2 linked regions of the Xenopus tropicalis genome follow. The protein of the gene in region 2 purifies or fractionates together with the protein of the main gene of each other region. This does not show direct contact. Links are inferred from orthologs where the notes say so. Each region holds a gene or a part of one and is shown on either strand. Other genes may lie near its edges.

Region 1 (4,311 bases), on a different chromosome or scaffold from region 2:
TAAAGGTGATACAACAAATATCCTGCACCATTTATGTTGTGTAGTCCACAGTGCTGGAAGAAGTGCCAGAATTTCATCATGGGACCTATAAGTAACTCACCCGACTAAGTGAATGAGTCTGCACCTAGAAATAGCTACATGGAAAACTTTTGCTGTCCAGAAAAAAAATCAATCAGTGTTTGCTCTGGGGAGACAAGGCAACGTTAAGAGTTATTTGGCACAGTACCAGAAGGCATGTTTGGTGAAAACCAAAGACAGCATTTCACCAGAAGTCCCTGATACCAATCGTAAAGCGTGGTGGTGGAAATGTTATAGTTTGGGCCTGCACCAAGGAATGGCCAAGTCAAAGCATAGATCTTAATCCCATCACAATGCTGTAAGGGAATATGAAATGGGCTGTGCATGCTTGTAGGGGCATATGCATAATCTGCAAGTACATGTGATATAGGACTGGGGGATATGTAGACCAAGGTGCTTGGCTGCTTTTCAAAAAAAAAAAAAAAAACAAAACAACTACTATTGTTTCCCCTATCAGGAATGCAGGCTCTGTTATTCTGCACCTCAGATGGGGGAAACAATTTTCATGTGATGGATAACTAGTTTTTATCTATTCATCAGGCATTTTTTTTTAAACACCTTTCATTCTATAGGTCTGTAGAATCCAATATGATTAATTCAACATACTGCTTAACAATTAAACTATTGTATTCTACACTGCTTACTTAATATTTACTTTGTAAACATTTTACCTTGCCATATTTTAGCTTGAATGCCCCATGGCTAAAATATAGTTTGTGGCGCAGGTACATAACTTGCATCAGTGCAGGGGAAAAGTACATTATTTTAATATGAACAGAAAACCCTTTACATTTATTTAGTGTTACTGGTCCTTAACCATTTACTTGCCTACTTCAGGGAAATGTCTGGCCCTGATTAAGAAAGAAAAAGACAAAAGGACTTCACTATTGCCAAGTAAAGAGAAGCATTCTGCTTGCTTCTAATAGATATATAGGGAAATCTTAACCTCTCTATATATCGAGTAAAAATAAAATGAGAAAAAGGTTACAGGCCACAGATAAAGACATTAAGACTAGTGGTATGATATCTAATACAAAATAAATATATACCAATGATGTTATATATTGCACAGCAGTTTGATTGTTGAATTGATTTCCCCTATGCCCTATACCAAACAGCAAATCAAGTGATAATAATATACAAGCTAATAAGAAGTATCCACTTTGTTGATTTGTCTTAGCATGAAGCACATAAACATAGAAAACAAGTTTCTTTGGATGACTCACAGTAATGGGCACAGTTACTAAACTTATTAAAAGCTTTAAATTAAACCAATAAGAGAAATTAAGACTGCATTCTCCAAAGAACAAACAGGTTATATAATAAAAGGTGCAAAGTTTTCTATTTGGCTTGTCACTAATAGCAACCAATCAGCAAGTAGCTTTTACTGGTCACCTGTTTTAAAGCAAACATTCTATTGGTTGCTATGAGTAACGGCACCTGGGCAAATGTGCCTTTTACTACCTATGGTTGCTAAACATACAGTATATTCTCAATGGCTTTTTTAGACCTTAAAATTAAATGTATGTATATGGCCTTGGCTCACAACACACCTATTTCACTATATTATATCAGTGATATCATTGATATTAGCAAGAATAATGTACTCCTTGGGATTATTTCTAAAATGAGATAGCACTCTTTCTGTTCTTCAGCTTAAATTCACAGCACCCTCCGACAGTGAAAGGCTTGCAAGGCTTAGCGGGACCTTTTCATCTATATTCACCAAGTTAATTATATTTCTGGTGAAACAAAGTCTTATGACCTCAATCTTGTTACATAACACACCTTTACATTGTAAAAATAAATATGCCCCTTGTTAAAAAATACTATAGAAGTCATCTCAAGAGTTCTGCGACCTGTATAAAAGCATTTGGCTGCAACATTGGGCCTAAGTGATTATGGATGTAATGCCCTTTTTATTTGACAAAAGAGGGGATACATTATTATAAATTCCATCCCAAATATAACATCAGTTACAACTGACTTTCTTATATTAAACAGTTAAAAAACCATCTGTGTTCAAAAATGTTAGTTCTTATCTAAAACAGAAGCCTAAACTCCAAAACCCAATTTAAAACAAGTCATCTTTTATAAAACATAATCCTGGCAGTCACATAGCTGGTTGTTTAGAATTTGCAATTATGAGTAATCAATAAATGTAGGCGAGCAATCATCCTATACATCATGCCAATCTAGCTGTGGTTTCAAAAAAAAATCAGTAAAAAAGTGGTTGCTCTGAATTAAAGAAACTCATTAAAAAATGTGCAGAAATATGCTGCTGCCTGCTAGGATTAGCCTATGCTTATTCAGCCCTGTGCTGCTGTTGTCATCAGGTGAAAAAGATTTTGATCATAAAGTTTTTCTGATATGACATGTGAGTGCAATACTATACAGTCATCAGATATGTATAAGTAAGAGTCCAATGTATGGCAAAGAGCTGTCACTGCTGTTTAACATGGTCCAATAAATGCTTGCGGATTACTAGCCAGAGATATACACGTTTGTCATGCTACAGAGATGGAGAATACAAAGTGACCATTACAGAACAGGAGGCAATGTTTAAGCATTCAAAAAAATCCCATACCCAAGATCCTCCAGAGCCTCCAAGATGTCATTCTCCATGATGTCGCAGTCCATGACGTCAGCGATGCTGTGGTGACACCTGCTGCACAAAGACGACACCGCGCACTAACACAGATAAAGGACCGGTGGGGGGAATGGCGGCCTTGGGGAGGGGAGAGCAGTCACTCGGTGCCGTAGGCGGCAGCTCTTCCGATACCGGAGACCACGTGTGAACGGTCTCACTCTCCTGCCCAGAGACTCCCCTCCCTCAGCAGCTGCCAGACGCTGCCCGGCTGGCATTCCCTAGGACCCCAACTCCTCCCTTCTCTTGTTCTTTGCCGTCATCGGACTGTCTATTTAGGTGCCTGATTATTCAACTTGCCCAATCCAGTATTTTATTTTTGTTAATCTTTTCATAAAGAGGCGGCGATTACATGGCAGGAGTTGATATATGTTGCAAAGTTATCTGACAGAAATAAGTTGATGCAAAGCGGAGATGAAAGCAGCAAAAAAGTACGGCAATATCACGGTACAGCCATTTGTGCGAAGGACCCCAGCGAATGCAGTCCATGTGGAGAGGAAGCGGCGGGGTCACGTGGCCGGCGTGTCGGGTAGCTGTCAGAATTAGAGTTATTGAAGGCGCCGGGGAGCAATGGCAAGAGCCCAATTCAGTTTTATTTGGAACAGCAAAGTGTTTTATCCTGTGGGACGCGAGGGGTTCCTCGCAATGTCATACGGAATATATTCTGCAGGATATGTGGATGCAGTTCTCCAAATAAGTTTTTCAAAAGGGTTTAAAATAGACGTTATATGTGCTAAGTTCTACAACTCTGGAGCTATAGTATACTGTACAAGCCAATACTACGGAGACAGATGCCATATGCCCAGTTTGAGCCTAGATAATTACTGTAACCCTAATGCCTTTGGTCGGAAAGCTATATTTATAGAGTCCCCTATTCAATGCTGGATAGGCCGACGGACCAGACGTCAGTGGGCCATCTACCCGCCCAACCATTAGCCTTGGATTTCTATATATTGATTATTAACCATACGGGGAAAGTGGGCAACGAGGGAAGTGTAGTATGTATAAATATGGGAGTAGGACCATAAAAAAGCTGACTAAGGGGGATAATAAGGGGAAGCGTGGGAATGTAATGTAAGGCTTACTGGTGGGCCCTGGGAACCTAGTCTGAAGCCCCTATTATCAAAAACTGCGCAATGCAATATTGTGTATCTGCTTCTGTAAGAAGTTATTGTTTGTATTGCCCACTCCATAAATAATATCTCTGCTGTGTGTGACATGTTTTTCTGAAACTGAAATATGTGTACTATGCAGTGTTTCTTTTAATATATTGTAAACTCTAATGAGCAGGTCTCAACCTACTGTATCAATCGCAATTTGTGTGTAATCTGTATGTTTTATGTGCACACCCTCCGAAGGAAGATGATACCACTCAGGGTCTGGCTGGAGGGGTAAAGATTCTGTATTGACCAGTTTTCTTCACATATGATATTTAAAAGAGAAGGAAAGGTAAAAACTAAGTAAGCTTTATCAGAAAGGTCTATGTTAATACAGCAATAAGCACTCACAGTAATGCTATCAAAAGTAACACAGGATTTCTTGTTTCTATTTTTGTAAAGGTTATGTTCCAGTGTCTGACTTCCTCT
Region 2 (3,825 bases):
TATCACCATTACCAGACCACATCTCCACCATCATCTTTTATCCTCTAGAAACCAATTTCCTGGCAAATGGCCAGAGTAGGAACACAAACTAGTGTGAATACCGCAGCCTGCCACTAAACAGCATTCTACACTGTAGCCTGTATAAACAAAAATGATCTCAGGACCTGCCATCAGGCATAATAATCCAGGTGGTCATCTAAACATGGAATCCGCATGATTAGCCTACAGCTACAAATGACTAACATTGACACTCAAATAGGATATATGGAAAAGATGGAAAGAGTAGCAAACATACACGCAAACGCATCTTGAATATCTAAGAGACAGTTTCCTGGCTCAATGGCTAAAGAACCTAACAACGCCTTTCAGACTTGGCTTATTTAAATCTAAGGGCAAGGACAAGTTGGGAGATTGAGCCAGCATTCAAATTAAAAAATAAATAAATAAAATACCGCTAACTACAAATCTCTGTGCGTCACTGCCCTAAGGACTTGCTGGGGCAGATCTTTGCCATTCAGGGATAATGAACAGCTTTGGAAGAAACTTCAGTTCCTATGATGGCACCACATAAGAGTCCAGAAAAAAACAACCACCATGTTTGACATAAGCAAATGATAGTGTGTATCCCTCTGATTACATCTAAAAGCATCACAGTAAAAAAATTTGCCCAACACTATTAACGTACATCACCCCGTATAGTGGAGTTAGATCAAGACAATTTTTTAAAATAAAAACCAAGGCAGCTTTGACATAATCCCTATCTACCAAAACAAAATGGCCTTAAACAATGCCTTAAAAAATATATGGCTTATTACCAATGAGTCTTCAGTCTTGTCAAAGCTGATGTCTGAGAGAATGGAAGCAGATTCATCTATTGTTGAGAGCCTAAACAAATGTGAGGAATCAGGGAAAATTAGCTAACGCATTGCAATGTAGAATTAAACTTGAATTTTTGCACAGCTATAAGCTAGTTCTTGCTACAGCTCAGTAGCAACAATTCTGTATTTAATAGCAGATTTTACATATACATGCACTGTGTATAGTAATAATGTTCAAGTGTGCTTATTAATATGTGGATTTGCATATTTCAGTTATAAGAATGGACAGTGGCATGTAAATTGCCATGTGACGGGGGGGGGTCTTCCAAAACTGCCACATGCACCCAGATGGCGGGACAGATTGGTGAAAGCTGAAAACTGCCCTGGACGTGTACGGCTACCTCAACTGCCAACAAAATAGTTGTATGTTTTTGACAGCATTACTACTGCTGCTACAATACAGTTATGCATGCAATAGTCCAAGGCGCAGTTACTGGCTTCATATTTACCTCCTAGTGCCATTTCCATCAGCGGACATTTGAGTCCTGTTATTAAGAAAAGCTAAAGCACTTCTTTGCTGCTCACTGAGCTGAATGCTGCCAGATGGATCACACATTAGCAGTTCCCGTATCAGCTGTATTTGTCGTTCCTACCATAAGACAAAACAGGTGTTACTAACAGCACAGGTTGATGTCTTGTCTCCCCCAAAACTGTCGCACACAAATTCTCCAATCTCACCAGTTTTTCACATTCCACCTCTGCACGTTGTCTCCTCTTTATCTCCACATCCACCTGATTGCGTGCATGCTTTAGCTTAACTTCCAGCGCACTGCGCTCAGTTTCAGTCTTCATCAGCATTTCTTTATTTTTTATCAGTTCTTGCTCAGATTTTTGCCATTTTCTTCGAAAGTCTTCAAAATTCTTAGCCAGCTGAATAAACTCTAAGGAATAGGGAGAAAAGGCAATGATTGATCTCTACCATTCAGAAAGAGCATGACAATACCACTCACAAATAAAACCACACGTGAACTGTGCCTAGGGCTATACTGTCAAACTAGAACGCTTTTAAGTTCCAAACAATCAATTGCTCTCCAGGAAGAAAGGTTTGATTTTAGTGTGTTGGCATTTCCAATTATATTTACTCGCAATTTAGGATGTCTAGCTCATACAAGTTAGACAGAAACGCAATATAAATTTAGTTTAAAAGTGAAATATCAGTTTACAGTTATTTTTTGGAAAATTTCCTGTAAAGTTAATACTATGACAAAAATGTATGTTTTCAAAAAAGCTGATCGACATGAGCATGTTCTGTCATTTTTTTTGGGGGGGGGGGGGGGGGGGGAGATTTACAGAAGAATATGCAAAATCAGAGGGCTGGGAAGCCAGATACTCCCGGCTGGTGCTTCTGTTGGCAGAAAACTATACCAGCCTTCCGAGCGAGCAATGTGGAGCAATATTTTTACCTTCGCATTGGGTGCACATGTGCAGTAGAGTGAAAAGGCAAACTTTAAAAGGAGAAGGGCAGCTTTTTCACTATACTGCACGTGTCCTGGCCTGGGCCACTGAAGAATAAAGAAACAGAAGACAATGATTGTCCCATGGTGCTTGCTTTGGAGTACCCCAGACTGGCCCGGGGTATTAGGTGAGCGATTATAAGCACTAAGAGGTGCCTAACATTTGCAACATTTTGGTGCCCAGTTTTAAAATGAGGCAGTACTAATCAAATCAGTATGGGGGGGTCACACCACCACAAACAAAGAAATTCAGCTAACCGACTGTTATATTACCATGAAGATTGAATAACGTTACAGCCAACAAAGCCGAAGTTCTAATATGCAGAGACAGCAAAGCTTCCATCTTGGGATGCATACTTACGTGGCTCTATACCCTCATTCAGGCCATCTACTTGCCGCATTAATTGCTCAAAAAGATTGCGTAGGTTCATCAGGTTTGTCGCCATCTTCCTGCAAAGAATTGTCGATTAGTAGAAAATCACAACTTGGAGCATCAATAGGTGGAGCAGTGCTCGACTCGAAAGTTCTGGGAGCACATTTTGACCAAGGGAGATTTGCAGGGACTGTTTACATAAATACAGACATGTAAAAACCATATATACAAGTATGCTACTACACTTTAAGCCATTAAAACAGCAACTGAAAACTACTTTTTCACAACTCCAGCAAACCCATCATATACCTTGCTAATTGGCCAAAATTATCAAGAAAGCTCAACCATAAAGTTCTAAAAGGCTCATATCCAAGCAAAATGAAAGATAGGCAGACAGACGGTTATACACAAACTTCTACAATGTAAACTTGCATATAAACACCATACATCTTAAAAACTAGTACAAAACCAAGCAAAAATGCCTAAAAAAAATTATACGAAACAAAAATATTTACAGAAACAGCACAAAAACTTATGTGCCTACGACCATAACACACATAGCACATTTAACCTTATGGATATATAAAAAAAAAAAAAAACTACAGGTATACAGGCTCAAATTACAGAAGTCAGCCTCCTTATTTTAAGAAAATAAATCTTATTTTAAAAATGATTTTCTTTTTCCCTAATAAAACAGTACCTTATGCTTCCTTGATAGTAACCAAGCTGCATAAAAGAAGCTCTGAAAGCTTGTAGCCAGACTGGGCTTTTGTTAAAACAAAACCAAAGTCAAGCAAAAGGACCAGACCAACAGAGGGGTGGAACATAGAAGGCAAAGCAACATAGTCATCCCATATGTTGCTGGAACATAAGAAAAAAAATCAAATTTTTCAATCGCATTCCTGTGTTTTTCAAACCCAGCAACACTCAGACGGACCTGGCAGCGATACAGTTTTTAAGCACGGGCCCCTTTAAAGAGTTACAGGCCCTTGGCTCATTGGTGGTCAGCGGGTAATTTTATTGGTTGCGCCCTGTGCGTACGTGTCACGTCAGCACGCACGGGGCGCAACCTAATAAAAGATCTGCAGCTGCGGGACCTAAGAAGAGACAGCGGACGCAG

What was found.
Region 1: the proteins of racgap1 (region 2) and protein FAM98A purify together in Homo sapiens (co-immunoprecipitation; 3 studies listed by BioGRID and IntAct, with this or other methods). This does not show direct contact. The link is inferred for Xenopus tropicalis from reciprocal best matches to the Homo sapiens genes RACGAP1 and FAM98A.

What each region holds. Positions count from the first base shown.
Region 1 is NC_030681.2:46,829,890-46,834,200, forward strand, and holds the start of protein FAM98A, read right to left. Parts: upstream 2,942-4,311; 5' UTR 2,719-2,941; coding exon 2,666-2,718; intron 1-2,665. UniProt on the Homo sapiens protein: Positively stimulates PRMT1-induced protein arginine methylation. Involved in skeletal homeostasis. Positively regulates lysosome peripheral distribution and ruffled border formation in osteoclasts.
Region 2 is NC_030678.2:148,521,126-148,524,950, forward strand, and holds part of racgap1 (rac GTPase-activating protein 1), read right to left. Parts: intron 2,783-3,825; 5' UTR 2,779-2,782; coding exon 2,694-2,778; intron 1,760-2,693; coding exon 1,557-1,759; intron 1,468-1,556; coding exon 1,328-1,467; intron 886-1,327; coding exon 816-885; intron 1-815.